Linked DNA regions of Lytechinus pictus. The protein of the gene in region 1 purifies or fractionates together with the protein of each later gene. This does not show direct contact. Links are inferred from orthologs where the notes say so. Each region holds a gene or a part of one and is shown in the gene's direction. Other genes may lie near its edges.

Region 1 (16,795 bases):
GCTCTTATTATTATTATCTTATGTATTATATTATGCAATAGAGAATGTGGTGATTCCAGTTACTTGTAAATTATTTAACAATGTAACAACTACTAGTAGTTAACAACTCTAGCAATATGCAATATATTAAACTTTGACTTGGAGAAGAGAATTTATTTTTTCCAATGTGGTCTCTATTAGCTATGGTGAAATAACGATAAGATAATTCGCGAATATCAAACAGCGGGGGGGGGGGGGGGGGGGGGTTGTCCGTGACGTCACCCCCTATTAAAATTATGTGAGAGATATTTTATTAGATTTTAGACGACGAATAATGAGTGCAGGGTGGCGGGGACGCCCCCTCCCCCCCCCCCACCGTCCCCGGGATCGGGAAAGTGATGATGATGGTAACGACGATTGTCCTCATTATGGAGGAAATAATGATGATGATGATGAAGATAATGATACTAATTTTGGCGGCTGTGGTGATTGATGATGGTTAAAATAGTGGTGGTAATTTAATGGTGATGACAATATTGGTGCATGGTGGTGGTCAAAGTGATGGTGTCACTCAGGGGCCGCGGAAGCGGGAGGGGGGCTTCAGCCCCCCCATTTTTTCAAAAACCGTGTACAAAAACGTAAAAATGACCATTATTATTGCGATTTTTTGCATGGTCACCACCCCCCCCCCCACTTTGAAAACCGTTCCGCGGCCCCTGTCACTAACGTACATTACGGGGATGGGTAGACATGGCCCACAACAAAAAAAGTTCCACGACCAAGCCCATACGCCAAGTCTGGCCTCCCTAAAAATGTGTGGCTTATTACGTCACTGGATGTTGTAGTAAAGATGGTGGCGAGATATTGATATTGATAATGATGATGACGATACGGTGGTGACAGGGGCCAGTATTCTGAAGTCGGGTTTAACTTAAACTCAGGTTTATAGTCGTGGTTTAAGTATGGCGAGCCAAATGTATCAAATTTTGTATTAAGTTGTATGTTTCTTATTTTTACTGTGCTCTTTCCTGATTTATCGATGGTGAAGACAACCATCTATTTATACTTGCTACACAATTATGAATGATTTGAGAGCCAAATGAGCTGAAATATGATATATCTACCGTTAGTGATTTATGTAACATTTGGCTGTCCATACTTAAACCACAAGTTTAAGTTAAACCCGACTTCAGAATACGGGCCTATGGGTGTAATGATGGCGTTGGTGGTGGAAGTATAATGTTGACGACATAATGGTGGGCATTTAGTGACGATGATGATGATGTGGTCACGGTGGTGGTAGTAATGATGATCAATGTGTAAATCAAACGAAATAATGAAAGCTCGATGTTAAACATATTTTTTATAATTGACTTCAAAACTTAACATTTCAAGCTCCATATATCAGCCTATTGAGCAAGATATGTATCTCATATAACAGGCAATGCGAGCACGAAGCGTGAAATGTTTTAAAGTGGCATGAAAGATGTCTTCCTCTCGACCACCTTATTTTATTCACTCGTCTTCCTCTTATTTGTCCTCTTCTTTTTCTCCTCTCTTTTTTTTTATCCTTCCATAAATAGTGTGTGTGTGTGTGTGTGTGGGGGGGGGATTTGATATTGTCTCCCCCTTTCCAAAAAGTAGGGCAGGGGTTGGTGGCCAGGGGGAGCAAGAGCTAAATATTTCCCGGTCATATCATGGTATGAACAGGATTTTTTATATGATTGTGCCCCGAGCATTAGGGCGAAGCTCAATGCGTGATAAGTACCCCCCCCCCAAAAAAAAAAGAGGGGGCACAGTGTGGCGCGCGCAGCAAAAAGATGCTTAATATAAGTACCGAGCGAGCGAAGCGAGCGAGAAAAAATATCAGCTTTTCATGAGAATCAAACTTTGAGATTGATTTTGACATGGTATTCGGAAAATAACATCATAATCTTACATCTTCCTTTCCTTTCGCGGGTACATACACAACACACATTAACTTCAACGCAGCTGCGGACAATAAACTAAATATTTTGAAGCAGCACAACATAGAAAAATGTGGATACATTTGTAAAAGTCGCCAGCGAGCGAAGCGAGCCAGAAAAAATTGGCTTTTAAAAATGATTAAATTCTACTCATTTGATAGTAGCTTTGGAAATTTAGCCAAAGTAAACAGGCTTTTCACGGTAAATCTAGCCAGCGCAAAGCTTTACTTAGGTTTAGGACATAAAATCTCTTTTCCCTTTTTTTTCTTTCTCCTTTTTTTTATTTTTATCCTTCCATAAATAGTGTGTGTGTGTGTGTGTGGGGGGGGATTTGATATTGTCTCCCCCTTTCCAAAAAGTAGGGCAGGGGCGTAACAGGGGTTGGTGGCCAGGGGGAGCAAGAGCTAAATATTTCCCGGTCATATCATGGTATGAACATAATTTTTTTTATGATTGTGCCCCGAGCATTAGGGCGAAGCTCAATGCGTGATAAGTACCCCCCCCCCAAAAAAAAAAAGAGGGGGCACAGCGTGGCGCGCGCAGCAAAAAGATGCTTAATATAAGTACCGAGCGAGCGAAGCGAGCGAGAAAAAAAATCAGCTTTTCATGAGAATCAAACTTTGAGATTGATTTTGACATGGTATTCGGAAAATAACATCATAATCTTACATCTTCCTTTCCTTTTCTTTCATCTTTTCTTTTTTTGTTAGAACTTTCGGGGGTCAGTGCTATGCGGAACGGGTCCGGGGCAATGGCGGCCCCAGGATTTTTAACCTCGGGGGAGGCAAAAGAACATTTGGGGCGGGTCAACACATAAATATTTTGCCAATTTCTCAAAATCGAGCAAGAAGCGCGAACTATTATTTTTTAGTGTAGACCCTACTGACTTGAAAAGAGACCTCACCAAATAAATAATGCGAGCGCGAAGCGCGAGCTGAAAATATTTGACATCTTGAGATGATAACTGGACGTTCGATCTATAAGCACTTTTTGTAATCATGAACTGGATGGCTATCTAATTAAACTTTTAATGCGAGCGCGTAGCGCAAGCTGAATTTTTTTTTATTTATGAAAATTATGAGTAGGCAGGAAGTATATCTCGCTAAAACGAATAATGAAAACTCTAATCGCGAGAAGCATATTGACTTGAAAGTTTGATTTTAATAAGCCCCATTTCAACAGATAATTTACTTATCTCAGTCAAAAGCTACTGCGAGCGTGTATAGCGCGGGCGACATTTTGAATTTTGTATAATGACCTGAAAGATTTAGTGACATTATTGGGAGCTAACAGTGAATTGATGAGAAAATTTTCAAAATTTAAGGAACGAAAAAGCTGTTTTGGAGCACTTTACAGCTTTAGTAGGATGTTTATGACAACATTTACCATACATATTTTTATTTTTCAAAATTTCGGGGGTGGGGCCAACTCACTGGGGGCAAATGCCTTCCGTGCCTCCCTGGTGCCGCCACTGGTCTGGGCGGAGCCACCGGAACCCCGGGATATTTTTAAACATTGCAGATGGCCACTGATAATCAAATCGCGGGTACATACACAACACATATTAACTTCAACGCAGCTGGGGACAATAAACAAAATATTTTGAGGCAGCACAACATAGAAAAATGTGGATACATTTGTAAAAGTCGCCAGCGAGCGAAGCGAGCCAGAAAAAATTGGCTTTTAAAAATGATTAAATTCTACTCATTTGATAGTAGCTTTGGAAATTTAGCCTAAGTAAACAGGCTTTTCACGGTAAATCTAGCCAGCGCAAAGCTTTACTTATGTTTAGGACATAAAATCGGGGGATAACCAGCCCTTATATTGGCTAAACCTACTTTAATTGGCTAAGGATTTTTCACGGGATTGTTTGTCCTTATTGTGACCATTAGCAAGCTTATAGTTTAGTGTACTCCAACGATGTTGTAGGACTAACCATGTTCATCGATCAAAGTAGAATGTCTATTGCTGCTCTCCTTCAGACAAAATTAGATGCGCTACTGATGTTGGCAGGGAGGGGTGGCGGGGGTATCGTAGCCAGCACAAAATTCCATGAAAACACACGAGAATCGAAAATCACTCAAAATCATAGGCAATCTTCTCCCAATGCTTATCCAGTCTATTCTTAAATGCAATCACTGAACAAGCAGTAACTACATCTTCTGGGAGATGATTGTTCCACACATCTATCATTCGGTTAGCAAAGAAAAACTTACGCACATCAAGACCTTTTCTCTAGCTTTAAGGAATGACCACGTGTTTTACCACCATTTCTCAGACAGAAAAGCTCAGAACTTCTATCATAGTAACCATGCAGATATTTGTACACGTCAATCATGTCACCTCTTTTATGTCTGTCTGTGACTGAGTGATGGCAATTTCAGGAGGCGAAGACGTTCAGAGTATGATAGGTGCTTAATACCTGGGATGATCCCGACCTTTCGTTGGAAGAACGCTAACGCTTATTTACGACGTTAGTTGATTTTGGAATTGACTTTTGGGCCCGTCGTCATGGTCTTAAAACTCTGTCCTGCAATGCAAATTGTGCGACATGAGATTTTTTTTTTCGTTTCGCATCTGGAACGGAAACATTCAATTTGCGTTTCGTGTACAAAATTCTGGTTGCTACTATGGTAACAGCGATATATCCGATTTAGGACGACTTTCCAAATCCACATTTGGTTCCTCCCAGAGCTCGAAAGGCCGCCCGGGGGGCCCACTTTCATTGAAGAGTGGATACCAGGCGCAACAACGCGTGACAAGGGAAAGAGTGGGTAAGTACGTTACGTATATAGGCCTATGTAACGTTATAAAGGTGTCAAAAACGATGATTAAAATACTGATAAAAGGGATATATTTCCAATACTTGTAGGGTTTCACAAGCCAAATAATTGTTAAAAGATGCATTTTCATAATCTGGAAAAGACTTGCTTCCCTTGTTTAGGGTACTTTTCGAAACCCCATGGTCGTGCCTGGTATCCACTCATCAATGGAAGTGGTCCCCCCGGAATTTGAATCTAACCCCCCATTTCAGGGGAAAGTAAAACATAATACCCTTTACATCGTGTGCTAGAGGCGTATCGTTTGTGTAGAAGGAGTGAACAAAAGAAACAAAAGAAACCCGCATGTTCAAACGTATTGCATACGCTGTGTACATATGCGAAATGGGTTCGGCTGGAGAGGTGATCTGACCCATGGAATCAATTGCCAGTCATCCACCAATAATCCACATTAAATGCAATATCGTTTCCATGGACTGTAATGATCTACATCTAAGCCTTAATTTAGTAAGTTTTTCCTCACTTAATATGTACTCGATTTGTTTGAAACACCACTTTCTTATACATGTCATATTCTATTTTAGGTCCTGCATTTCGAATATCTCCAGCCATCAGTCGTAATACATGCATGTATGGCGCGCGGGTGTCGCGGGAAAGAATTTTGCACACGAAAAGCAGATCTGTAGGGCCTGTAACCCCCCCTGTAAAACAAATCTTAGCATTGATTGTAGAGCAGTTTTCTACGTTTGATTCTATTGACTATAATGCAGGGGCCGCGGAACCGGGGGGGGGGGGGGGCTTCAGCCAGAGGCGTCGATCATGGGGGGGGGGGCAGGGGGGGCAACCGCCCCACCAATGAAAATATTGGGGGGCAAACATATCGTTTTGCCCCCCCAATAATTCCGCATGTGCAAAAAATAAAATAAGATTGTAATGTTACACAGAAATCAGCAAGCGAGATTGAAATACACAACTCGTTCTTCATCTAAAGTCGTGCTAAAAATGTCCGGTTTTCAGATTAGAATATAAAAAAATTTCAGCTCGCGCTTCGCGCTCGCATCATTTCTGTAGCAAAAACCCATACTTTTCATGATTGAATAGGTGAATAGAATGTCCCGTTTTCAGTTCTATACCTCAAAAGAACTCCCACTTCGATTTGCAATAATCTTTTGTTGGATTTATTTCTTGTTCTTTATTAAAAACGTCAATTAAACTCTTGTTTTTTAAGATCAAAATATCAAAATTTTCAGCTCGCGCTTCGCGCTCGCATCTATTATTTTTTAATTTTTTTTACATTTAATTTGTTGGTGAGATGTGTGTGTGTGTGTGTGTATATATATATATATATATATATATATGTATATATATATATAATCTATATATATATATACATATAGGCATATGTGTGTGTGTGTTTGAGTCTGTTTTGTGTGATCGAGCGCCTTTGGAATGTTGATTCATGATTTTGCCCCCCCAATCTGAAAAATGGATCGACGCCTCTGGCTTCAGCCCCCCACTTTTTTTCCAAAACCGTGTACAAAAACGTAAAAATGACCATATGATTGTGATTTTTTAGCATGGTCAGCCCCCCCCCACTTTTGGCTCAGCCCCCCCCCCCACTTTGAAAACCGTTCCGCAGCCCCTGTAATGTACAATCAATCTTAAAAATCAAGTGTATGATTAAGCGTCAACTTTTGTGTTAGGGGACCCTAATATTAGCGTCCGTGAGCCGTGAGGATTGCGAAAGGTGGCAAATAATAGACGCCATCCCACCTTTCTTCCCGTTCTTTATATTTTTCTATCCTCGGCAACCCGGTCTTGTTATTAAGTTATTCTCTTTTTTTCTCGTCCCTTTTCTCTATATTTTGATTTTCCAATTAAGCTTTTGGTTCTACCTTCATTTCCGTTTCTTTCTGCCTCTTTCTCCAATTTTCCCGCCATTCTTGTCCGTGCCATTGAGTCATATCTTTTGATTTCATATCCCTCTCTTGGTATCATGCTATAGTGTATTAGTATTTCAGGATATTTGTACTTCCTCACGTGTTCTCCTTTCCTTTTCCCGCTTTCCTTCCATTTTCCCTCTTTATGTTCTTTCTTTCCCTTTCTTTTCATTTTTTTCCCTTTCTTTTTCACCTTTCCTCTTTTTCTGTCTTTCCTTCCCTTTCCCTTTCCCTTTCTCTCTTTCCCGGTTTTTTTTATTTTCCCGGTGAAATCCGCCGCCCCCCGCCTGTTAATTACGCCACTGTACTGAAGTAGGGGACACGCGTCCCCTTGCCCCCTATGGGATTTTCGCCCATGGAAGATGATGAGGAGGAGGAGTAGGAGAGTGATGATGGTGATAACGTTGGTGGTGATAGTGATGAGGATGATGATGATGAACACGACGAATTGATTGATTGATTGAAATATCACAGGAGATTACAATTAAATTGAAGAATACCTTGACAGGATAGCCCATGAAAGCCGAAAGGCTTATTTCCAATGGGGTCCTATAGTTAGTATAAAACATTAACATATTGTAACAAAACGTATAAACTACGACAAGTACTGGAATATGGATAAAAAAATGATAAAATACATACATATCCATCAGTCAAATAATATGCAAACATCTGAAGCAAACAACAATCTTCCTAATATATGAAACAAGATTATATTTTAACTTAACCTACATTATCTACAATACTAGAAACCAACTGTACAAAATGTGTGATTTTTACTGGTAATATACTGCTCTCGAGTAGCTTCCAGTTATGTTTATGTCATGATCTCATGGAGGTAACTCATCATGACGATGATAGGTAAGGTAGGCCTACGTGGTGTACTCATGAACATTGAATATGATGACGGCCATGTCGACAATATTCATGGCGACGAGTCCCGCGACCAGGGGCGGAAATCTCTCCCAAAAGGTAGGGGGACACAAGGGCGGATCCAGCCTTCGCCAATGGGGGGGGGGGGGGGGGGGGGGCGGGGGGCGCGCGGACATTTGTTTCAGCCATATTTTCCCCGATCGGCAGCGGAAAATTTCGAGATTTAGTCCTATAATATTTACTGAACGAGACACTCTATTCATGTTTTGTAAATCATGAAAAGGATGAGTATTAATAATGCGAGCAGAAAATTTTTATATACGTTTTGAACTGGTACCTGTTGAAAAGACTGCTTGCACTAAGCCATGAAGGCGTTACATATTTCAACAATCAAAAAGTGCGAGCGCGAAGCGCGAGCTGAAAATTTTTGAAAATTTCTAAAGAAAGAATGGAAAATTTTAATCAATTTTCGGAATCGTGAACAGGATAGCTATATAATTCAACAATTGATGCGAGCAGAAAAAAAATCGAGATTTAGACCTAAAAATGGGCCACTCTGTTCATGTTTTGTAAACAGCCATAGGCTGATCGAGGGCTTTTTAACGTGTTTAAATAAAATAAATCAATCAAAATCAATGTTTTGTAAATCATGAAAAGGATGAGTAATATAAGGGGGTCTTCCTACATTAATAATGCGAGCACAAAGCGCAAGCAGAAAAATTTTGATATTGTGATCTGAAACTGGATAATGATTTAAATAGAGAACAAGTGGAGTATTTGAATAAACATGCGCGCGCGTGTTTCATAATTTAGAACAAGAATCTAGGCATTCTAAATACATCTTTAATCATGAAAATCATGAAACATTGATATTCCGATCTGAAAAAAAAGTCAATTACAGCTTTATATTTCAAGCACTTTGTAGGAAAATTGTAAAGTGGAAATGGATCACACTTAAAAAAAAGAGCTAAAATTTTCATTATTTTTACTTTGAGTTTTGACATAGGACCGGGACAGCCTTATACGACATGTCATGAAAATGATGACTATCTTCCTATTCCTCTTGCTTAGCGCGAGATGAAACAAAAGGGACAATTTAATTATTAAATTAATATCATATTTATTGATGCCTAATGAGGGCGAGAAATCTGATGATATTATGGCATAAAAACTGGACATTTCACTTTTGTAATTATGAATAGGATGCATCAGTTAATATATTTTTAACCATTAATGCGAGCGCAAATCGCGAGCTAAAATTTTGATAAACTGAAGCAGCGAATGTTGATAACATTATTCAGACCATAAAACTGACATTTTTACAGAGCACCTTTTAAAAATCAATTTGTAAATCACACAAAATAATGAAAGTTCGATTTCCGAGGTGAAATATGTTTTGTATATTGACTTCCAAACTTGATAGTTGAGCTCCATATTAAACAAGATATGTCAATCACCTAACAGGCAATGCGAGAGCGAAGCGCGAGCGAAAATTTTATATAGTGGCACGAAAGATTCTTTTTATTTTCCAAGTCTTCCCCTCATTTTATTTTATGCACTCGTCGTCCTTCTCTTCTTTTTCTCCTCTCTTTTCCCTCCTTTTTTCCCTTTTCCTTCTTTCTTTCCCTTTTTTTCCCTTTTTTTTTCTCCGCCAATAGGGGGGGGGGGGCCTCGGCCCCCTGGATCAGCCTATGGGGACAAGGGGCGGGAAAATTTGACTAGCAAAAAAAAGGTTATCATCCCAAAAGTACTATCATCTCGTCCCAACTCGTCCCAAAATACATGTTTTATTGATCGATTTAGAATGATGTATTTCTTACTATCATAAAAGACAAAAATAGTAGGGGGGACATTTGATATTGTGTCCCCCCTACTATTTTGAGTAGGGGGGACACGTCCCCCCTGTCCCCCCTGGGATTTCCGCCCATGCCCGCGACGAGTGAAGATGCATGATCAGGATTGTGATGACATATGCTGATTTGGCTGGTGACGATTGTTGTCTAAGGTGGAGTTGCTCAGCTGGCTGGGTGCATCTTTGTGGCGGGTATCCCCGGGTATCTAGACCTATACGCCTTACGGAGACACCAATGATCGTAGAATTATGGTAATGGTACAGGGGTTAATCGATCTTTAATTCTGACTCGATCATTCTTTGATTCAGAAGGTAATTATTTCCCCCATTCCTTCCTTCCCTACTCCCCCCCGGCCCCTCAACCAGAAATCAAACCGGATGCGATGCGCGCCATCTACGTTCACACAATTACAGCGGCAGCGGAAAATCAAAATTTGATTTGAAGACTTTGTCTGAAGTGAAATAAAATGGATATTTTTGTCAAGTTTGTTTCGCAGAAAGTTGGAAAAGTCAGATGGCAGCCTTCTTCATTCAAAGGAATTCAATTCTCCGATACATTTTTAACCGGAAGTTGGGATGATGAGGTACGTGTTTTATAGCTCCTTGACGATAGATCACGAATGAAAACTTGTGAAATTCAATTGAGCTGTAACTTAGTGTGTACGGTTCAGATGCTTATTTCCGTTGCGTATGTACGCGAGACCGCTTTCGGTTGGGAGCGCCCGTCTTGCCCCCAAAAAAGAAATAATTTGCAAGTTAACTTTTGGCAATAAAGTCATTCATATGTACTCTAATTACTGGCGAATTTGCAAACTACCAATACTATGACATGATTAACGTTCATCATGTTCATAATTGTGGGCATGAAAAATTGATGATTAAAAAAACATTTATTTTATGGGTATGATAACCATGAAATATGAATTGAAAAGACAATTTTTTGGGGGTGGCCTTTTTTTTTTAGCCTGCCTTTTGGGCACTTAAGCTTTGCAGATTTAAGTTGGAGTTGGACTTCACGATCAGATTTTTCACAAGGCCAAGGGGTACCACAATAATACCTCAAAACACCCCAAATAAAAAAAAAAGAAAGATAGCAAATCATGCAGAAATGCACCCACCTCGGCTCAATCCTATAGGCTATAAGTACTATAATGATGTTTGTCCGCACAGACTCCCTATCCTCAATAAGTACTACTACTAGGCCTAGTACTAGTATTCGGCAACATGATCCTCAAAATAATAGTTGGGCTTCTTTTCTCCCATTCAAAATTGCACACAATGCACTAGACAGGAATAACCGTCGTTTCTGGGGATTTATTCAACAATTTCTGACATTTTACTGTAATCCCCATTTACCGACGGTAGGGTGTACGTGTGGGCTCGCATGTGTTCTCATTCCCTCCCTTTTGTCAATTCACAGTCCAAAGTTTGATGTAATTTTACACATCGAATTTACAATCTAAGGATGTATAACCAACAAACTTTTAAAACTTGATATTCCATTATCAAAATACTTTAAACGATATAGATGAAAAGGCATGAAAATTATACTTTACCGATGTTTAATTGGGTTGAACACGATAAAAATGGTCAAAATGGCAGCCAAACTATGAAATATTTACAAACGAACGGAGAGGGCGTCAACAATCACGAATATGATATCGATATTGCTTTCGATATTATACGATCTGCTCCATACGCGAGCGTACCGAAACACCGTTACCATCACAGGTAGCAGACGACATTCGATATATCGAGACATTAAAAAGTTAATAACAATAATGAAGTCATTCAAGATGGCAACTTGCAAGAAAAACCCTCAGCTCAGGTGAAAATGTCTTAGATGAAAGATTTCTCAATCATCCAGAGGATTTTTTTCAATAACTTCTGTCCAAGGTACGCAATTACTTAAGTTATTTATATTTCCCTGATAATTGAAACCATGAAACTGTAAATTTCGCTTAAAAACAGTTTAAAATCGCGACCTATAAAACGTTAGTTCACTTAATACGTTGGCTGTACGTACGGGCCTCCAAGCTCTTCAGTCTATGTATTGGTGAGTGGAGCCAACGTAGTTCAGCGGAACAACCAAAATACAGAGACTGAAGCTTTTGGTCTAACAATGCACAAGATGACGGACTATCGATGGGCGCATGCGCAAATTCTAACTGAAGTTGAAATTATTTAAAAGATCTGCCCACAGCAGCTCACCCATTTTTTTGCATGATTTCAGTCAATGTGACTTTAGTCTGGATATAATCAAAATTAAGGCGAATCCAAGTAATTTTGATGTAAACTGAAGTTAGCGACTAAAATCATGTGAACAAACAGTTGAGCTGCTGTGGGCAGATCTTTTCATCGCTAACTTGAGCTAGAATTCGTGTATGCTCCCATCGGGACTGGTCTGCCGTTTTGTGTGCAATTTTGAACGGGAGAGAGTGGACGCCGAGCTATTTTCTCTTTTTTCTTATCATGATATACTGTAATAAATATAACCTTTGATGTTGGATGATTGGTTTCAAATCGTCAGAAATAATCTTAGGTCTCCTATGGCCATGCCATGCAATCTTGTCTATTGTGTAAACTTTGAGAATAATTCTTTCATTTTCATCTTACAAAAAAAAAATCTGCAGGAGAATAAGATCTCACTTTGGAAGGTTCCAGGTGTCCAGAACAAAGCAGGGGCTGCAGGAGCCTGGCAACAAGACTATCCACAGCAGAGGACCACAGCCTTAGAAGGACAAGCAGGAGAAGAAGAACAGGAGCCTGTATTGCTCTGTCAGATGAAACATGATGGGGATGTCACAGATATACAGGTATAAGTTTTCTATAATTGATTGATTCATTCCTATTTTGTTTTGGATTTATCTAAGATTTAATATTGCTTCATGAAGTTCAATGAAACAAAAAATGTGAAATTAAGTTGGCATTAAAAGTTGACCATCCGTAAGACATGTATTTCACGTAGTTGAAGTTTTTTAAAAAAAAATCAGATTATGCAAGATATGTGTGAGTGCCTCCTCAAACATGAAACTCTCCTTGTTAGAGTTTTAAGCTCCTGCAAAACCTGACTTTTGTTCATGTCTATGTATGTAGGCAGGGTGACCAGAACAATAAATCACATACATGTACATGTACCATGATAAAATTTAATTATCTATTCTTGGCCTTGGGTCATGAATTCCTATGTTCATTCATATTTAATTGGTTCGCTACATGATCATAATTATAAGTAAGCACTAGATAACTGTGATTTATGCTGCATTTCGATAAATTTTTGCTAAGGCTCTTGGAGGCCCATGCTTTGCAATCAATGGTATTACCGTACTTCTCTTTTTTTTTACCCCCCTTAATCAATTTTCCCCTCTATTTTGAAATGTTACACTCGATGATCTTCCAAGAACTTTGATTTGCTGGAATTTTATAACCAATCCTGCAGTTATTTTTGAATTGCTTCATTATTTCATTTTCCAAAAAGGAATTTAGACATCTTGATGTTTTCATATTCTGATTTGTTCTACACTTATTCACTTGAACACTTTATCAATCTTGTAGCATGTCATTCTTAGGTCCATTCAGGGTAAATGTGCAAATAATTGGCATTCTTGTATTCTATTTTCATTCCTGTAGTTTGTCAACCAAGATGTTTTCTTAGCTTCTTCATCATGCGGAAGTGTTCAAGCGTTCAGGTGCAACAAAGCTAAAGGGGTAAGTCTGGGCATGGAAATACTATTAAACTATTTTGTGTAATTGCCACTTTGTCTATTTGCAAGTTTGGCTGTGCATTTATTGTCTTATTTCCACTTGGTATAATGAATGATAAGGTAAAATAATCATAAAAAATTCACCTCCTCTACCTCTTCAGGACTTTGCGCCCTCTCAGAAATGGTCCGGCATTCATCACCACCCTGCCGACACCTGTTCCTGTACCTGCATAGCCGTCAATGGAACGGACATCTCCACCTGCGGAGAGGACGGAAGGATTAACGTCCTGCGGCTGGAGCACAGACAACCGATAAGAACCATTGGTGAGCAGGGGCAGATCCAGGATTTTTCGAAAGGGGGGGGGGCACATTTTCTTGAGGAAAAATTTGACAAGCAAAAAAAAAAGAAGAAAAAAAGGGTTTTAACCAAAAGTTAAGGGTATTTTGTCCACGAAAAAAATTTGAAGAAGTTGTTTTTTGGAGGAATAAAATCAGACAAGAACACAGGTGTAAACAGACAATGTCATACCAATCAATTGAGGGGGAAGACAATAGTTCATACCCCCCTTCCTATGATCAATAGGTTCACTGCTTGAATTTACGCCGGTGGACAAGAAGATGGATGAAAATTTGAATATTAGCAGACAAACAATAAGAAAATTCTTTTTTAAAGAAGAATGAAAACCCTGGAGCAAGTTAGCTTGTTTGAAAGCAGAAAATAAATGAATAAGATCAGTGGAAGTTGGCAATAAGAAATTTATGAGCACTTGAATGTTAAGCTCACTAATGGTATGGAGATCCTCATATTGGCCATGCAAACAAGCTCTTTGATGTCATACTTGTACAACTCACCCCTTTGGACAATGAAATTATCCCCAAAACATCTCCCTTTGAGTCTCTGCTCATTCTAATGATTTGACAAACAATTCAACCATGATGAAACATCTATTACCTGTCGTCTCATTAAAAAGAATACAGTGAATATAATGATGGCCTAGATAAAAGAGAAGTGAAACATGTACTAGGGTAATGTGGAAGTTGTATGAGTGAGATATCACATATCTTGGTCACATCACCAGTTTTGCATTAAGCGGATCTTGTGAAGAGCTTATGAAATAGCCCCTTGCGTATTTTTTCTCATCATACATAGATGAAGCTGATAGCTGCAGCATCAACGCATTGACACACCTGAAACAGCATGAGGTAATAACAGTGAATTCGGCTGGGCAGCTCAAGATATGGGACTTACGGCAGCCGGGCTCACAGCCAACAAGGTTCTTTATAGTGTAAGTAACCCATCTTTTGACAATTTTTTTCATTTACCCATTCAAGTAAGCATTTACTTTCTTCCATTTTTTCACAAAATGGCATTTTTCAACACTAAAGGTACAACTGCAGGCACATACCCTTGGTTTTGGAATAGAGCATAAAACAGTCTGAACCAGGAGACTAGATTCACTGTGACTTTTTGACTCAGACATTGTACTGAATGTTTATATATATATATGTCAAATTCAATTTCGGCGCGGTCAACGGCCGACATCTCGAGGGGGAGGGGGGCCTGGCCTCGGCCATATGAACTCCCAAAATACCCTGGCCTAGATAGGGTTAATGCCACCAGAGTGCCATTTTTCATAAAACTCTTTAGTAAGTTAGGCACATTTTATTTCTTTTGATCCTTGTCCTGTAATGAGATGCAGGCAACCCAAAATATCCTTGTTTCAACATAATCACTGAACATGACACAGAATGGTAAACTGGATTATGAACTACTTTTATATGTAGATCTGGAGAGAAGGTGCCCCTTCACTGTGTAGACCGGCACCCAACCCAGCCTCATCTTGTAGCCACTGGTGGTCAGAATGGCATCCTCAACATCTGGGACATGAGAAAGGAACAGTTACCAGTCACACTCTTTGAAGTTCACCAGAGTCACGGTATGATATCCCAGCTTTTCATTGCCATAATTTTCCTGTTTCAGCTTTGATGCGAAGAATCAACCTCATAATTTCTTCTTTTTGCCTTCTGCAAAATTGACTGGATTACTGAAGCTCAGTAAGATAATGTTAGTACCATGTTATGGCAGGTCTCTTACATTGCAATAAATTGCGATATTAGATTTGTGTATTCATGTTTAACCCTAATTCTCCCGGGGGGGGGGGCCATTATGGCCCCCCCCCTCGACAATTTTCGCGATATATCTGCTGCGCAAAATTTTTTGACCTCGCCGCTCACTGACTTTTTACTTTCAAGTCTCGCGCAAATTTTGAGACCAAATTTGTGACGCCCGGGTACGCGGTTACGACATTACGCAACATTATGTAAGTGCATGTCAGACCCAAAATTGCTCATAAACGTGATTTCATGTACAAATCCAATGCAAATTGTGTATTTGGCCAAAATTCATAAATGTATCATTATTTCTACTTTTAATGATTAAACTTAATTAATTTTGCCTTGTTTATGATCAGAATTAAGTCTGGAACGATTTCCATAGAAAAAACTATAAAAAAACTAAAAGTAAAAAAACAAAGAAATACATAAGAAATTTAAAAAACAATAAAATACATAAGAAATCGGTCTTGGTACCAGAATTTTTTTCATTCACAATTGTTAGGAATGCTATAAAGAATATTTTCACCAAAAATAGCATTCTAGGAGCTTTATTTAGTGAATCAGAGCAAAAAGTATGATTTCATGAATAAATTAGCATAATTAATTCATATTAAATAAAAATATATGAATTCAGTGAAATTTACCAATGCAACTGCGTAGATTACGTCATTCTCTACCATCATGCAAATTTTCGTTGTCATCGCGCAATCCACGGCTGAGATCTTAAGGGGGGGGCCATAATGGCCCCCCCCCCCCCGGGAATGACAAGAATCAAAATACCCCGGGAAATTGAGGGTTAATAAGGCAATTGTTATAACAATTAACAATGTAATGGTCATGTAAATGCAGGAGTACTAGGTAGCTTATCATTCGAATAAAGTAATAGTTTTCTAAACATTTCTTTCCATCAATCTGTTTAGAACTTACTGTTTATGAAATAGAGGTGTTTGAAAACTAATAATTGTTCTTGCTTTTGAATAAGCAAACACCTTGGAACTGAGTGTTAGTTCTCTTTATGAAGGGGAGATACGTGTACATAACCAGAGTAATATACATGTTAAGCTTTTAGATACGTATTACACGCTATATAAAAAAGCAGAATATCATTAAAATTATTATTGATGATAATGGTACTGTTTTATTTCTTGTCAGTTTGGGATGTGAAGTTTCACCCTACAAACCCAAACAACCTGTTTACCTGCTCTGACGATGGAACGGTCCTCCACTGGGACGCCACCAAAGGTCATAGTTCAACTGGTTCTGCCTTCCGCAACATCAACACTCCTACAGGTAAAATCTTGATTAGGCAACCAGGGATTAGTGTTTTCAAGCTCTACCAAAGCATGCAATTTGCTGTCCCCAAAGATCGTGGCCCCATCTTACAAAGAGTTGCGATTGATCCAATCAGCCACAACTATGGATGGCCAGCAACGTCAACATCTAAAATGTAAATTTGTTCAAAATATTTTCTAGATATGATGTATATTCATACATTCATTGTTCTCTTGAAGATTCAGTGTGATTCTCTTTGTTTACTAAGGAGATTGTGCAAATTTCCTGTAGAAAAAATTATGGTATGGATGGA
Region 2 (16,448 bases), on another chromosome or scaffold:
TGCTCATTAAATATTCATGAAGACATGCCTACAACTATTTTAAACGGAATAATGCAAATCTTTAAAATGCCATAACTTTGTTATTCTTCGTCTGATTTTGATGAGATTTTCAGTGTTTCGATTTTCTGATTTCTTTTTTTATATTTTTAAACCATATTATTTTCAGCCTGGAGTACCCCTTTAATAAGTCGATACCATCAATCGTGAACTGAACGTCACGGAAGATCTATATGAAATCATGACAATGAGTGAAGAATATAGAATTTTTCAATTGCCCATGTTTTGATTAATATCAAATATGACTTAATGGCAGATGAATAGAATTAAAGATATGGCCTGCACATTTCGGTAAATACTAAACAGTGAATTTGCCATACTGTCCAGTATTTTTTTGTTTCTCAATTCGTAAAATTGCCTTGGTATCTGATCGAACTGCAACTTGTAGGGGATCTTTTTCATCTCGGCTAATTGCCAAAGGTCACGCTGTCTAGACACTGTAAGATTTTGATAAGGGTATTGGTATATAGAGGTGAGATCTAATAACAAAACTGCTAAAACAAAACTTTTCCCCAATATTGGCTGAAGAGTTGATATGCATGTTTGTTGGGTAAATCTATGTTATGAGCATTGCCCAATTTTGCGCTAGAATTTACACACAAAACAATTGTTTTCTCTCTTAAGAAAAAGGACAAAATAACCGATGAGTTTTTCGGTGAATATATGCGCATGTATCCGACCAAAAGAAAGTATAATAAAAACAAATGACAATTACTTATATGCAAACTCACCTGCGAAATGCAGTAAACAAGAAGCGGCTAACAAAAGACATATCATGGTGGTTTTAGCATCAAACGATCCCAAATATGCCATACTGTTCCTGCCAGGGCAGTGATGTCAGAGAGCGGAGAGCGACGTGACTGGATTCCCCATCGACCGACTGCCACACTGAAGCTGAAATTCAATTTCCCTCCCCACCCAGCTTACTTCAGACTTTCCACCAAATTGATGAGAACCCAAGAATGATGTCATCTGTTTATCTCAACAGTTCTTGTCGTTGTTGTCGTCGGTTGAAATTGGTCTAAGGTTATATTAGCTGTGTGAACTATGCACTCGGTGCCTCTTGGAATACCCAAGTTTATATGTTATAATCATGATACTCCACCGGCTGATAAAAGTGGTTTAAGCACACCGTAGACATGGTAGATGTGATGGGGTGAGGGTATTATTAAAGGTACTGGGATTGGGACGAGATTCATTGTGGAGTGGTGTTTCCATGGCAGCAATCCATTTGACTGTATTTTACAATAATGTTTGACTTATCGCAGGCATATACTATACGTCAGTATGTTTCTAAAGTCAAAATTGACGAGAGAAAATGGCCAGAGTTCAGGTACAAAGTGAAAGTTAAACAAGATGATAATTAGTTTTAAACTTTGATCATTCCACTATCGAAGAAGTTCGGTGTGATTTCCTTCATGTCTGTTCTTTAAGACAGGATTTTTCCCCACTTCATATTTGAATTCATGTTTTCCATTGCTATTATTTTTTCTATCCGCATGAATCAATAATCACAACCGGAGCATGCAGTAGGTGTATTTTACCATGGACCTTATACAAATTCGAAAGCGAACACTGTTTGACATGCATGCATGTATACAAGCAGTGAATATACATCAATAAGGGTAAAGAAATGTCTTGACAAAGAAAAATGGTGTAACCTAAACTGTAGGTTGGCATATGGTATTTTGAAGGGGCCGCAGAACTGGTTTTTAAAAATGGGGGGGGGGGGGGTGGACAACAAATAGATGGAAACTCATGGGGCTTCATGTGATACCGTTACTGTCATATTTCTGTATCTATTTGAGTAACATATTTTACTCAATAATATCTAATATGATAGTCATATCATCATGGAAACATGATACAAGTTTGGCTTGTATTAATGTATTATCTTAAATAATCCACGTATTGAAGTAATAAACGATATCAAATTCATTGAGCGAAAAAACCGACTTGTTAATGCATTTGTTGTCATTCAATAAGATTTTATTACCTCCAGATTTTTTGTTTTTTAGGGGGGCTCCCTCCCCCCCCCCCCCTTCATTATAAATAACGATCGTCTTTATCCCTAAGGAACGGTCAACATGGTCAATGGTAAAGCTCGGTTGAATAATCTGTCAAAAAAAGTTTTTAAAAATATATGCCCCGAGTATATCTGAACCCACGAGAGTTATGCCTAACAATCACTTGTTGATACGTAATATTTACTGTCATTAAAGGTAAATATCAACCTCTCTCTCCAAAGATAAGCAAATTTCGCAAGTTCAAACATTTTTATTTTTACACACATTTAAAGAAGATATGAGCAAAATTGACCGGAATTAATTTTATTCATCTGGTCAGGATGTAGAAAAATTATGGAGTTTTAATCAGAAGTACTCTGTTGGAAATTTGTGATAGACATGCCCCATTTATATCAGTGCGTCTTAAGCAAAGAGGTGTACCATGGATTAATGATGACTATCTGAATCTAGCACGAGAAACGTGGAGGAACGTATCAAATATCAATATTATGTTCTTGCTTTCAAAATACAAAACGATTTAGCCACAGCCTATCTGGGACCACTTATCTGCAAACGTAATGTAACTTATAAAACACGATATTCTAAACAACGTCCCCTTCAAATACCATTATAAAAGAAAATCTTTTGAATATGTTGCTGCCGTCTTATTTAATTCGCTCCGTTGTGATATACAAAAATGCACGTCCCTCCATTATTAAAAAAACACTGTAAATCATAAAAATTCTGACTGTCATACATGTAATTAAATTGAATAACTTGATGTTGATGTAATGATTCCATGATAATTGTTGATTCACTCTATCTATATAATGTATGCTGTTTTTACTTTATTATGTTACATACATTGAATTGTTATGATGTTGAGTTATTTGTTAAACTGCAGCTAGGCGCCTTTGGAAAGCAGTTTTGCATACCTAAACAGGCCTACCCTGCAGTATCAAATAAAGAAAATCAATAAATAGATAAATGAATAAATATATAAATAAATAGATGACTGAATAAATAAATAAATATAGTTTTTGTCTCACCTGCATAGCAGAGTGAGACTATTGGCTCCGCTTTTCCGACGGCGGTGGCGGCGTCAACACCAAATCTTAACCGAAGGTTAAGTTTTTGAAATGACATCATAACTTATAAAGTGTATGGACCTGGTTCATGACACTTGGACATAAGGTTAATCAAGTATTACTGAACATCCTGCATGAGTTTCACGTCACATGACCAAGGTCAAAGGTCATTTAGGGTCAATGAACTTTGGCCAAATTGGGGGTATCTGTTGAATTACCATCATAACTTTGAAAGTTTATGGATCTGATTCCTGAAACTTGGACATAATAGTAATCAAGTATCACTGAACATCCTGTGTGCATTTCAGGTCACATGACCAAGGTCAAAGTTCAATGAACTTTGGCCAAATTGGGGGTATTTGTTGAATTACCATCATAACTTTGAAAGTATATTGGTCTAGTTCATAAAACCTGGACATAAGAGTAATCAAGTATCACTGAACATCCTGTGCAAGTTTCAGGTCACATGATTAAGGTCAACGGTCATATAGGGTCAATGAACTTTGGCCAAATTGGGGTATTTGTTGAATTACCATCATAACTTTGAAAGTATATTGGTCTAGTTCATAAAACTTGGACATAAGAGTAATCAAGTATCACTGAACATCCTGTGTGCATTTCAGGTCACATGACCAAGGTCAAAGTTCAATGAACTTTGGCCAAATTGGGGGTATTTGTTGAATTACCATCATAACTTTGAAAGTATATTGGTCTAGTTCATAAAACCTGGACATAAGAGTAATCAAGTATCACTGAATATCCTGTGCAAGTTTCAGGTCACATGATTAAGGTCAACGGTCATATAGGGTCAATGAACTTTGGCCAAATTGGGGGTATTTGTTGAATTACCATCATAACTTTGAAAGTATATTGGTCTAGTTCATAAAACTTGGACATAAGAGTAATCAAGTATCACTGAACATCCTGTGTGCATTTCAGGTCACATGACCAAGGTCAAAGGTCAATGAACTTTGGCCGTAAAGGGGGTATCTGTTGAATTACCATCATAACTTTGAAAGTTTATGGATCTGACTCATGAAACTTGGATATAAGAGTAATCAAGTATCACTGAACATCCTGTGCGAGTTTCAGGTCACATGACCAAGGTCAAAGGTCAATGGATATTGGCCATGTTGGGGATATTTGTTGAATTGCCATCATAACTCTGTAAGTATATTGGTCTAGTTCATAAAACTTGGACATAAGAGTAGTCAAGTATCACTGAACATCTCATGCGAGTTTCAGGTCACATGACCAAAGTCAAAGGTCATTTAAGGTCATTGAACTTTGGCCATTTTAGAGGTAATTATTAGATTGCTGTCATTACTTTCAAAGTTTATAGATATAGTGTATAACATGTGGATATAGGGGTAATCATGTATCACTGACAAGTTTTAGGTCACATGATCAAGGTCCAATGTCAATGAACGTAGTATTGTATCATTATATGAATGGTGTTTTTTGTGAATAATTATTTAAATTGTGTTTTTTAAAGTCAGCACTGCTGATGCAGGTGAGACCGCCAGAGGCATTCCACTTGTCTATCAGTTTGAATCTGTTCCACATGACAATTCACTTCTTTGGTGATTCAAGCTCTCCGTCGTAACAGAGTAAGTTACAATACATGACGATATTCAATATTTCATGCCTGGTTCCAATAAGTAATTTGACCCCCCCCCCAAAAAAAAAAAATGTCATACGATGTACAAAAGCAGTAGGGAATTTGTAACATTTTCCCATCGATAGACTCGGTCTTTGGATATTGTTATGCATCGACAGTTTACTTTAAAAGCTATCACTTCTCAGGGAAGGCTGTATCAATTTTTTTATTTTTTTATTTTGCTGTTACCCTCAAAATCTAAATTCAGGGGAGTAGCCGGGGGGCGGTGTGGGCGGTCACCCAAACCCCCTTAAAAATCCCCCCCCCCCAAAAAAAAGGAAAAGGGGTGAAAAGGTAAAAAATGTGAAGGGAGAAAAAATAATAAGGGTTTAGCTTTATTGGTTTTCTTCTTTATTTTTTTTTCTCAAAAGAATAAAAACCTGAACGAGACGTATTCTCTCTCTTAATTCATACAAAAAAAGTTTTGCTTACGCGCTCTGGTAAAATTACAAAATTGTCTTTCCCTGTTCTTAATTACACCCCTTTTCTACCCCGTTTTCCCCTCCCCAGTTATTTTACCGTACAGTATAAAAGTATACATTCGCGTACAGAATTACGTAGAAGCGGGTGTGTAAAGTATGAAAAGTTATCTTATTTATTTCAAATTGATGATTTGTGAGGTAAAGATAATTATGGCTATTTGATTTCCGCGCTACCGATCGGAGCGGGTAAACACCGTCACTCCCCATATGCTATTTCTTCCTCTATTTAGCAAGCAATTTTTGGCAGGTATCTGCTCGTAGGGGCAGGCATTAAATTTATACCATGCATGCTACATACAAAAATAATATATGCGATGAAACTTTATTCTATATCCCTGTACACCATCCCCTGTCTTGTTTGCGCCCTCAATTCACGTAATTTTAAATTTTGAATTGGAAGCACCATTATGAGCAAAATTATATATATATATACTGTTCGGTTTGTTGGGTTTTTTTTAAATATAAATCACAGAGAATTCCAAGCTTCGCGTGAGCCTGAAGCGCTTAACCATTGTGTACTCTGTTTTCTTCGTAATCAAGAGATACAATATCAGAAAAATCACTTGAATTAGACCAGGTGAAGGTGAAATTTCAGAACTTCAACGCTTTAGTCAAGTAACACCCCAACATAACCGTCAAGTTGGGTATGGCTACGATTTTTTTTGCTGGAAGTTGTAGTATAGAGTGTCTACTCCAAGAATCCGACGGGTGCCACCTGGGCACCCTTGGGCATTTTTTTTTTATTGACGTCATAGGCCACGCCCACTTTTTCACATACCTCTTATATATCATTTTCATATTTTACGGAATTAACATGTCATGTTTGGTATCAAATTAAAGTTTATGAAAAATCAAATGCAAATATATGGATTACTGTGTATTTAAATCACGCATAGGTCAGTTATAGGTCGCTTAAGGTCATAAATTGTCAAATTGCCTTACAAATATAAGTAAGACATGTAATGCGGAACATACCATGATTTAAATATAAACAAGTTAGGTATTATATGCATTTTTTTTGCAAAGGTTAAGTTTGAGAGTGTGAATATTAAGAATCCGATGGATGCTTCCTTGGCATCTTGAGGAATTTTATTTTTCTGACGTCATAAACCACACAAACTTTCAGTTACATTCCTCTTTAATATGACTTTTCTATTTAACGGAATAAACATATTATGTTTGAAATAACATTAAATAAAATGCAAAATAAAATCCACATAATATGAATTGCTACCCATTTAAAACGTGCCCAGGGCAATTAAAGGTCATTTAAGGTCATAAAAGGTCAAATTGGCTCACAAATGTAAGTAATGCAGCAAATAATGTGGAATATATCATGTTTGGAATACAAACAAGTTAGGCATTATTTATGTAGGTCTATTTTTGGCTGAAAGTTATGTTGAGGATGTGCAGATTAAGAATCTGACGAAGCTCGGCTGCTTTGGCAACCTTGGGCAACGTCATTGTCTGATGATATATTTTAATATCTAGCGTACAAAATGAAAATATCATGTTTGGTATCAAATTAAAGCTTATTGAAAATGGAATGTACATAAAGGTTACCCAAAAAATGAAGCACATGTAAAGGTGCCCTTTAAGTCATTTACACGCATGAAATGTTGATGATTGCTCGACTTTCACAGGACTTATACAAAACGTTTAATTTATCATTTTGTATCAAATCATTCCATGGGATTCCAAATAATCTACACCAATTTAACATCTTACACAATGTCCTGTTATATTCCTCTCACAACTACCCTCTGTACCATAATTCTTCGACCGGATGCTCATTATGATTCCCCTTCACCAACAACCTCAACTACATGCCTCTGCCAGATATGTGTTACTTTGATTCACACTTGCAGTATGAACTATGAAATACGTGATTCGACGGCCGACCAGCAACTGCATTAATCTTTAAAAGTTGTAGAACAGGGTGACGCTGACTTGTATCGACAAGGAGGTTCTTTTAATTCCTTGGGAACAACCACTGTGTCATGAACAAGTACGGAAGGTCCAATGCCCTGTTCCACTATCTTCTGAAGATGTAATGGCAATAGATGCATGTAAAAAAATTCTCTGACGACACTAACCTTTCTGTTCTACCAGTCTTCTCATTTTGGGCTTGCAAGTCTTTTGCATACTGATGGAAAAGTAATTGGCATTAAAGGTATTGCATTGAAGTTTAGAGGAAAATACTAGCCTTGCACGATTCCCTATCAGGTTGTAATACAATGTTGTGTCAATTTGGCAAGGGAAAGTTTTCCACTTTAAACTTGCTGCTCGAATAATATCTTAATATATAGAGTCCGATGCTGAAGAAGTGGACTGGATGAATTAAATGTGTAATATTCATACTCTTCATCTTGCTTTACTAATATAACAAATGTAATGGTCTCTCTAATATAATTCACATGATTTAGCAAGAAGGCAGATGCTTCAAAGATCATAGGCCTACCCCCAACTGACAAGTCAGCAAAAGAGCATGATTATCAAAGGTGCTCTTCCTCAGGAGCTTGATCAGGAGAGCAACTGATCAGAATTACTCCCCTGCAAATTGCCTCCCATGCATCGATGGGAAGTATAAGTTAGGAGAACACTCCTGTACCTGTTCATAGCACATTAGTTACTCCCAAGGAATAATTATCAGAACTTGTTCCATGTGGATTTAAATCGGGGCCACCATGCTCTAGGGTAAGCATTTGCCTCTTATCGTGTATCGTACAGATCGTATGTAAATAACATTGTGTCATTCTAAACACAAGGAAAACTGAACATGCAGTTGAGACTAAAGAGGGGGAAATCAGTCTGGAAGATGAATGAGAGAACAACATGATAGTGGAGTTAGGAGGATGTAAAATGTCAAATTTGTCCAATTGGATACTTGTCTAAAATGTGAATTTGTGTTGAAGAAGTCATTTTCTGAGGTGTCTCCAACACGATTGATCTTAAACTGGAAATTGTGTGTTATACATTATTTACTGTTACTGTATATGATTCTGTCCTTGATTATAAACTAAAAAAAAACACTGTGCAGTTTTATTTCATGTAGGAAAATTGGTGATACGATGCCAAGCTTATGTTACATGTTTTTATTAAACTCTTGTTACATTGCCTGACATCATTTGACCTACCTAAACATTACTGCACTTTTGGTGATCTTGTCTTGTATTTAATCTCTTTTAACTTTTATAATTGCATTTTACTTGCCATAAGCTTAAATTAGTTAGCAAACACGTTAGGTTTATTCTATAAAGTGTCACTTTCTGTCATAATCATGATAATTACTCATAGGCCATATATATGTGAAAAGTGGGCGTGGTTCGTGACGTCAGATATAAAAATTGCCAAAGGGTGAGCAGGTAGAACTCGTCACATCCTTAATATACACACCCTCAACCAAACATGAGATATTCCACATTATATGTTGCATTTATTACGTTTGTGGCCCAGTTTGACCTTTTATAACCTTAAAATGACCTTTAATTGTCCTGGAAAAGTTTTAAATGCCTAGTCATTCATATATATGTGGATTTTATTTTGAATTTGATTTAATTTTATATCAAACATGATGTTTATTCCGCTGAGAGGAATGTAAGAAAGCTGGTGTGGTTTATGACGTCACAAACTTAAAATTCCTCAAGATGCCAAAGTAGCACCGGTCGGATTCTTGATATGCACACCCTCAACTTAACCTTTGCCAATAGATTCACATAATATCCAACTTGATTGTATTTAAAACATAATATATTCCACATTATATGTACTTCTTACATTTGCAAGGCAATTTGACCTGTTAAGACCTTAAATGACCTTTAACTGACCTATGCGTGATCTAATTGTCCAATGATCCATAAATGTTACATTTGATTTTTCATTAGCTTTAATTTTTTATACCAAACATGTTTATTCCTTAAAATATGAAATTCATATTTAAGAGGTATGTGAAAAAGTGGGCGTGGCCTATGACGTCAATAACAAAAAAATGCCCAAGGGTTCCCAGGTGGCACCCGTCGGATTCTTGAAGTAGACACCCCATACCGGGCCCCATACTACAACTTCAAGCAAAAAAATCGCAGTCATACCCAACTTGACGGTCATACAATAATGTTGATCAAATCTACCCGACTATTATGTCAAAATCTATCACAAAATAGGATTTTTGTAACAAAAATGTCGAAATTTTTGCTCGATCACAATGAATTTTACCGTAGGCCTATATTAATCTGTATCTGGCCTCCTTAAAATCTTTGGCTCATTACATCATCGTTCTCTTTAATGTATTTTTTTAAGTTCAGAGAGGGGAGTTTGTGATCGATGTGATGAGCTAACAATTTTGAGCCGGGGCTAGACATGGCCTATGGGACATTTTTATTTTCAAGCCAGCAAGCAAAATATTTGACCTCTTAATAAAAAAAAAAATCTAATTTTGTGATAAATTTTAACATGATTTGAATATTATATACACCTTTCCCTTTCAGTATCATTATCATTGTTAATGCTACTTTTCATCATTGATGTTGTTGTTATGAATATGATATTGATGATAGGCCTAATCATTGAAAAAAATATACAATATGAGCCCTATAAACATTACAAGAAAAAAGAAATTGATTGTTATATACGATAATAATCACTACCATCATAAATGTTCTACCGTGCATTATTGGGAGATGATTAAGCAGGTAATGCCCCTTTTAATTAGGGGGATATCCCTCCCCCTTGGATCGATACAACTTGGGATTTATTTCGGATAAAGGAAAATATATAAGACAATTTGTGAATGACATAATTCGTATGTGATCTATATCCCTCGCATATTCACGCGGCGGCGACGCGGGTAATTTGGTGAAATTGGAAACTGGGACTGGTCAGGGAATCGACGCCAATCATGCAGAGCTTTCAAGTTATTGAAGAAACACCGCAGTACTGTGTTGAAACGTTTGGACCATCGCTTCCTGTCCTAATAACAGAAGTACTTTTACAAGCTGATCGTAAGTGTTAATTTTTATTTTTGTTTAATTCGTCAATACAAAGTGCAATACAAGTGAATGTGTTGTACGGTACCATCTATTGAAATCTGTGTAGGCCTACCGGTTTTCATTAAAACCTTATCGGAACGTGAGGTCTGGATCTTGATTAACGTTAGATTGATAAGTATAATAACTGAGACAACGATAATAATAATTGTTATTATAATAATTATAATTTTAATAATACTAATTATGATTAATAATTATTGAGACAACCATATTAAAATAGGGTGTCTGGAGAAAAAATTATTTTTCTTATTTCAAGAAAATATCACATTTTCTTTGTGAATTTGAAGAGAAATGACCTTCAGACTGACAGAAATGTAACATTTTTGAAAAAAATCCAATTATTGGCTGCAAAAAAGAAGAATGAAATTGGGTAAGTTTTCAGCATTTCTCTGCCATAGACTGTGTAGTTAAGAAATGGACACACACAAATCCAAATTTTTAGCTTCCGAGAGCTGTTATAAGTTTATTATTAATGCCAAAAACTTGTCCATAGTGAGTCCAATAGGATTTTTTATGCTCTATCTGATGGTATGATTTTTATAAAGATTTGGAAACCAGATCACAATGAAAAATTGGGACAAAGTGAAACAAATCGTGCAAAACAGAAATTTCATTTTCCCATAGAAAACGCATGGAGAAATGGCAATCTCAACACACACAAAAATAAGGGTTTGCAATTTATCTCTAAATATCCTTATTTAAAATGATCATATAAACTTGTCCTTACTATCAAAAGAAGCCCCTGAATTTTCTCTTTCCATACATGCCAAACACAAGTTAATAATCAATTCAGATCACATTTTTCTAGTAGCCTGAACTTCCCCCCCAAAATGTGCCATATTTTCCCCTAAATTAGCCTGTTTTATGCTGACACTTTTCAGTGTGGCTTCAGACACCCTAATTAAAATAATGTTAGTGAGACACTTTCTTTGACTTGTCTTTGACTGAGGCTGAGCTGAGTCTGAAGTGAGACAACAAATTCACCTAGGCCTATAGGTATGTTGCAAAAAAAAAAAAAAAAAAAAGAAGAGAAATGAGGTGTTTGCTTCATAGCATCATTTAGAGCTGATCAAGAACTTTCATTTAATACCTCATTCATTTCAAGAGCCCCAGTAACAAGAAAGTTATGGTAGTTTTAAGTTCGCACAAATCGACTCTTCAATTTGTTTTTAAAAACAAAAGTTGTGATCTTAATTGGGACCAAGGTGCACTAATATAATAGAAAACAACAATGCGCATACATTGGCAAATGGAAGTGCCCAACAACACTCCCAAAAATTACAGACATCGCCGAAACAGGGACATAAAAAACACACTTAGCGTCAGCAGATTTCTTTCAAATTTCACCACAATGTAGTTGAAATGTTGTTCTATCGGAATGAATACCTGTTAGAGTGGGATGATACCTGTAATTGAATAGCAAGAGGTTGAAAGCAAGGCCAAAGTTCCAGTAGCACACAGAGCTGCAAGATCACCGAGTGAGATTTTTGTTCAAGTCTAGACAGCTGCCATAAACATTCAACTACGTAAAAACAATAATGTCATTGGGAATAACCTTTTCTTGCACATGCAAACACAATACAAAGCAATGCCCCCCCCCCCCAGTCACCCTGAGATTATAGGCAGCACACTCAATGCCGCATTCAGAATGCACCTAGAGGTAGGGCGCTTTTGCAACATACCTACAACAAAAAATTTATGAATATTTAGAATTAAGTTAGACTAGATCTAACCTAACGTCCATGCGCAGTGAGTCGCCATTGGCAATAATCGGCGATCTTCAACCTTCAATTTTGCACCAAAAAAAATTCTTACCCAAATCGTCGCCCGAGAAAAATGGCAGCTAAAATTCGCACCGTACGGATCCAGTTTGCAAGTCTGACTTTGACTGCGCTAGGGCTAGGACTAAAACCCGAGTACCCGGGTCTCGCCCGGAAGCCTCGGGTACCCGGGTAGAAAAATCAATACCCGAAAATTGCTTACCAGTATTTGATTTGTATTGCGTAGTGTAAGACATGATTGTAACTCATCACAAAAGTACACAAGTCTCATTTTGAATCTCACCAATTACCCTCGAAATATCCATAAATATACAAGTTTTTCAAGTGATGATGTGACTGAGATCGTTCGATCGTCGCCATGTTTCTTTTGCAGCTTGAGCATACGAAGCGCCAGCCAACCACGTTCGTGTTACTATTTTCAGTTCATCATAAACTGGAAATAAGGTTTATCGCTAATCAGAATTGCAATGCATCATGGGATCGAAAAGGGGACCGTTAGCTAGCTCTGCACGTGCGCAGAGCTTGCTAACGGCCCCCTTTTCGATCCCATGATGCATTGCGGTTCTGATTAACGATATACCTTATGGTAACACGATCGTGATTGGCTGGCGCATTCGGCGCTCCAAAACTACCCGGAAATCAATTGACTCTGTGCATGTAGCGATAGATTCTACAAACTCACGAACACGATGTAATATCGACGCTACTTCGTAAGATTTTGACGGAAAAGCAAGAAGTAATCAAAATTTGCTTACCTGTGTGGTATCGGTGAGAAAACAGATCCTCTGAGAAAATATTTCATAAATAATATGAAATATAGGAAAGTAGAATTCTAGGTCGATTTTGGTACGAAGTGACAAAGTATTGCAGACTTGTTTTGATGGAATAATGCGTGGGGCACGGGAGGCTTGCACTGCGCATGCTTACTATATTTTCATTCATAAGTTTGCTTGCGGCGCAGTGGCTGGATGACGTCACCTATGGGGTTTTTCCACCAGTCATATTTCATGCGACATGATTTTCGGGTACCCGCCCGAAAATTACCACGGGTACCCGAAGACAAAAATACCCGAAAGTCCCAGGCCTAGACTGCGCTAAACTCCTGTTTCTTTTGCTGGATCTTTTAACCAAACGTTGCAGCATTTCAGGGAATTACTGAGGATTAATGTCAGATGCCACAAGACACTTTTCAACATTGCAAATAATTTCTAGAACCATTTTGGTCAGAAAGTGACAGGTGAGTGGCGCAACAATAAAAAATTGCACATGGTGACTCACTGCGCATGGACGTTATAGATCTGATCATGACGGTTATCAATCATAATTAAAATAATTATTGAGACAACAATGATAATAATGAGACAATAATGATAATGAGACAATAATAATATTGTTTTTATTGAGACAACAATAATAACTTCTTTTTTTTATTTGATAGCATTTATTCCATTCATCATAAAAACAAATACAAGGTACATACAAAGTTTACATAAATTACATGGGAAAATTGCAAATATTACAATGATAAAATCTGGGAAACAGTTGAATTAAAAGAAAAGATTGTACATGATTTATAAATGAATGAGGAGGCAACTAGAAAGGGAAAGCCTTATTAGCGCTGCCACCTTTACAGAATCTGGAAACTGAATATATATATGATATTGTAAAATACATGATGTAATAAATACTGAATACCAGATATAAACATTGAACATAAAAGGGGAAAATACAAATTATAACATTAAAAAACTATAATGATTATGAAGAGGATCTGACTTCAATACCAAGTATTCAGAAGAAGACTCGGACAGAGCTGACAGAGATTGAATTCAGGGAACAAGACATAGAAGAGATACTGTCCAAGCTTGGACATTAATAAGTCTCCTGGCCCAGATGGAATCAGCTCCAGAGTATTAAGAGAAGTTTATAAGGAGATAACTAGTACATCATTTAAGATAATCTTTACGAATCTGATGGAAGAGGGTACTGTTCCTGAGTGATGGAGTCAAGCTTAGCCAGGAGGTTCCTGGAGATTAATGTCATATCACTGACGTGCTTAATCTCCACGGAGCCAGGGATGGGATGCCATTGCTCTATGCGCACCAAGTATTTTGGCAACAACAAAGTTGTTGCCAAAATACTTGTTTTCTTAAGGGTTTTGAGCCCAAACTTATGTAAATGGGCTACAATACAATTTAGACCCTTTTTTAAACTAAAGGGTCATATTGTAAAATAATATTTATTATCAAAAAATTGAAAATATTTAAAGTAGAGGAGCGTTTACTCACAGTCTGTTATTGTCGCCATCTTGCCATCTTTGTTATAGCCTAGCTATAAGACGCGTATAGAGGGCGATAATATCATGAGCAGTGCCCAAAAAATACTTGCATCGGCCGATAAATATCATGAATCGTAAAATACTTGCATCGGCCGATAAATATCATAAAGATCTTGAATGTTTTTAAATTTAGTACATTCCAGTATATATTTTGGAAAGGTGGTAAGCTGATTATATACACTATTATTTTCTCTTTATTATTGCGCCCCTTTTCGCCCATCAAAAGGGTGAATTAAGTAGTAATCGAATCTTGCGCTCCCCTTTCTCCATTGATGCTGTAGCTAAGCGTTGGTCGAACCTCCACCATTACGAGCCCAATGGCCGTCATTGGTCGATTGACGAAGGGGATACCGTGTAGCCAGACAAAGTCTTAGCGGAGCATATCCCTGACAGAAATAGACCTATATATCGGTCTAGATCTGGATGTGCACAGTGCATGTCATAAGTACGATGCGGGGGCGCATTTAGCCTAGAGGACTCTGATGATATTTTTATCATATTTGTCTTTTCATCACAGAGCCTAGACACTGGGGCTACAGACCTGCATGTCGTACATGGTAAACAATGACGGATTTCCCTTGAAAATCCATATTTACATGTACCACATTAATTTTGGGAAAAATAGAATTAACCTTGTACTGTATTCCACTTTAATCCATATAAAGGATTTAGAAAATATCAATAACAAAAGATGAAATTAAAAGGTTTCTTACCAGACAGACCTATCTCTTAATTGCAGCTACTAAATGTTCCCACGCTTTATAACACAATTGGCAGAACTCGCTTCCCATTGATGTAAGGACGGTGAACTACCGTTATGAGGCACTGTTTGTAACACAATTTTATACTCAATTTATTATTTAACAAATGATAATTATTTGCATCACATTTTAGTTGTGAATAATTATGTATAAAAAGTATTTTGAAAAAGGCACATGGTTAGCATGATTTTATGAAGTGACCTAAATCCCCTGTTTTTGTAAAAATTAGCAGTTTCTGAAATGCATACTTGTACTTCTTTTCAAATATTAAAAGAATAAAGTCAAATTTTGCATCTTATGAAAGGGTAGAATGTATGCTTTAAATTGGTGCAGGGTGCGACATAAGCGCTTGCCCGATTGCCCGGGGCAAGTAAAAGTTAGAGTCGGGCAAGTGTTTTGAAGCAAAGTCAAAAACTGATTGCCCGAATCGGGCAAGCAAAATTCTCCTATGGAAATTATATTTTACTTAGAAAGATTCCCCATGTTTCACCATCAAAATATAGAAAAGAAAAAGAGACACAAAAAAGGCAATATCATTAATTTTCTTCTTTCAAAAAGTCTTAAGTTTTGTGGCGTGGCGGTCCGTCGTCTGTCGTCAGTCACACAAAATGCTTCTTCTTTAATTGTTGACCGATCATGATTCGAATTGCAAAATTTGCGCCATTTTCTGCAATTAACACACAGCTCAGAGACGTACACACACACACAGAATCAATGACAGTCTAGCATACCTAGCTAGCTAGCGCCTAGTCCACGCAGCCGATGCACATGCATGTAGTTTCTACGGAGTACGATGCTGCACGAACGAAGTTTGCTCTGGAAGAAATCTCCTACAGAACTGTCAAATTCACATTTCTTACCAATAAAAAAATTCATGTAATGTCCATATTTCCTAAAAATTGGGGTAGCTCTGTCATTTGTAAGCAGTAAAAGGAGGATTTTCACTTCTGTTATGCTTCAAAAAGATTGGGTTTCGAATGATCGTCTGTATCGCACACACAGAAATACATTGTTTTGACAGTCCCACATATGCATTGTGTGTATGTTGATAAACGTGGTTTCTTTCGTAACTGTTTTTTTTTAGCCAAGGAAATTGATAAATTTTCTTCTTTATTTATGACTGGATAGTTTGAGCTTTCTTCCTCTCTATTTTCTTTCTTTCTGCCTATCTCTCCTTCTTTTCTTTTCAATCTTTCCTTTTGGATCTCTCTTTATTTCTTTAAATTTCCT

Evidence for each region.
Region 2: the proteins of nucleoporin Nup43-like (region 1) and nuclear pore complex protein Nup133-like purify together in Homo sapiens (affinity purification with mass spectrometry; 5 studies listed by BioGRID and IntAct, counting the BioPlex papers as one, with this or other methods). This does not show direct contact. The link is inferred for Lytechinus pictus from reciprocal best matches to the Homo sapiens genes NUP43 and NUP133.

Annotation. Positions count from the first base shown.
Region 1 is NC_087258.1:19,773,655-19,790,449, forward strand, and holds the start of nucleoporin Nup43-like, read left to right. Parts: upstream 1-9,783; 5' UTR 9,784-9,858; coding exon 9,859-9,975; intron 9,976-12,024; coding exon 12,025-12,207; intron 12,208-13,021; coding exon 13,022-13,099; intron 13,100-13,256; coding exon 13,257-13,419; intron 13,420-14,245; coding exon 14,246-14,381; intron 14,382-14,880; coding exon 14,881-15,032; intron 15,033-16,362; coding exon 16,363-16,500; intron 16,501-16,795. UniProt on the Homo sapiens protein: Component of the Nup107-160 subcomplex of the nuclear pore complex (NPC). The Nup107-160 subcomplex is required for the assembly of a functional NPC.
Region 2 is NC_087251.1:11,266,830-11,283,277, forward strand, and holds the start of nuclear pore complex protein Nup133-like, read left to right. Parts: upstream 1-10,187; coding exon 10,188-10,290; intron 10,291-16,448. UniProt on the Homo sapiens protein: Involved in poly(A)+ RNA transport. Involved in nephrogenesis.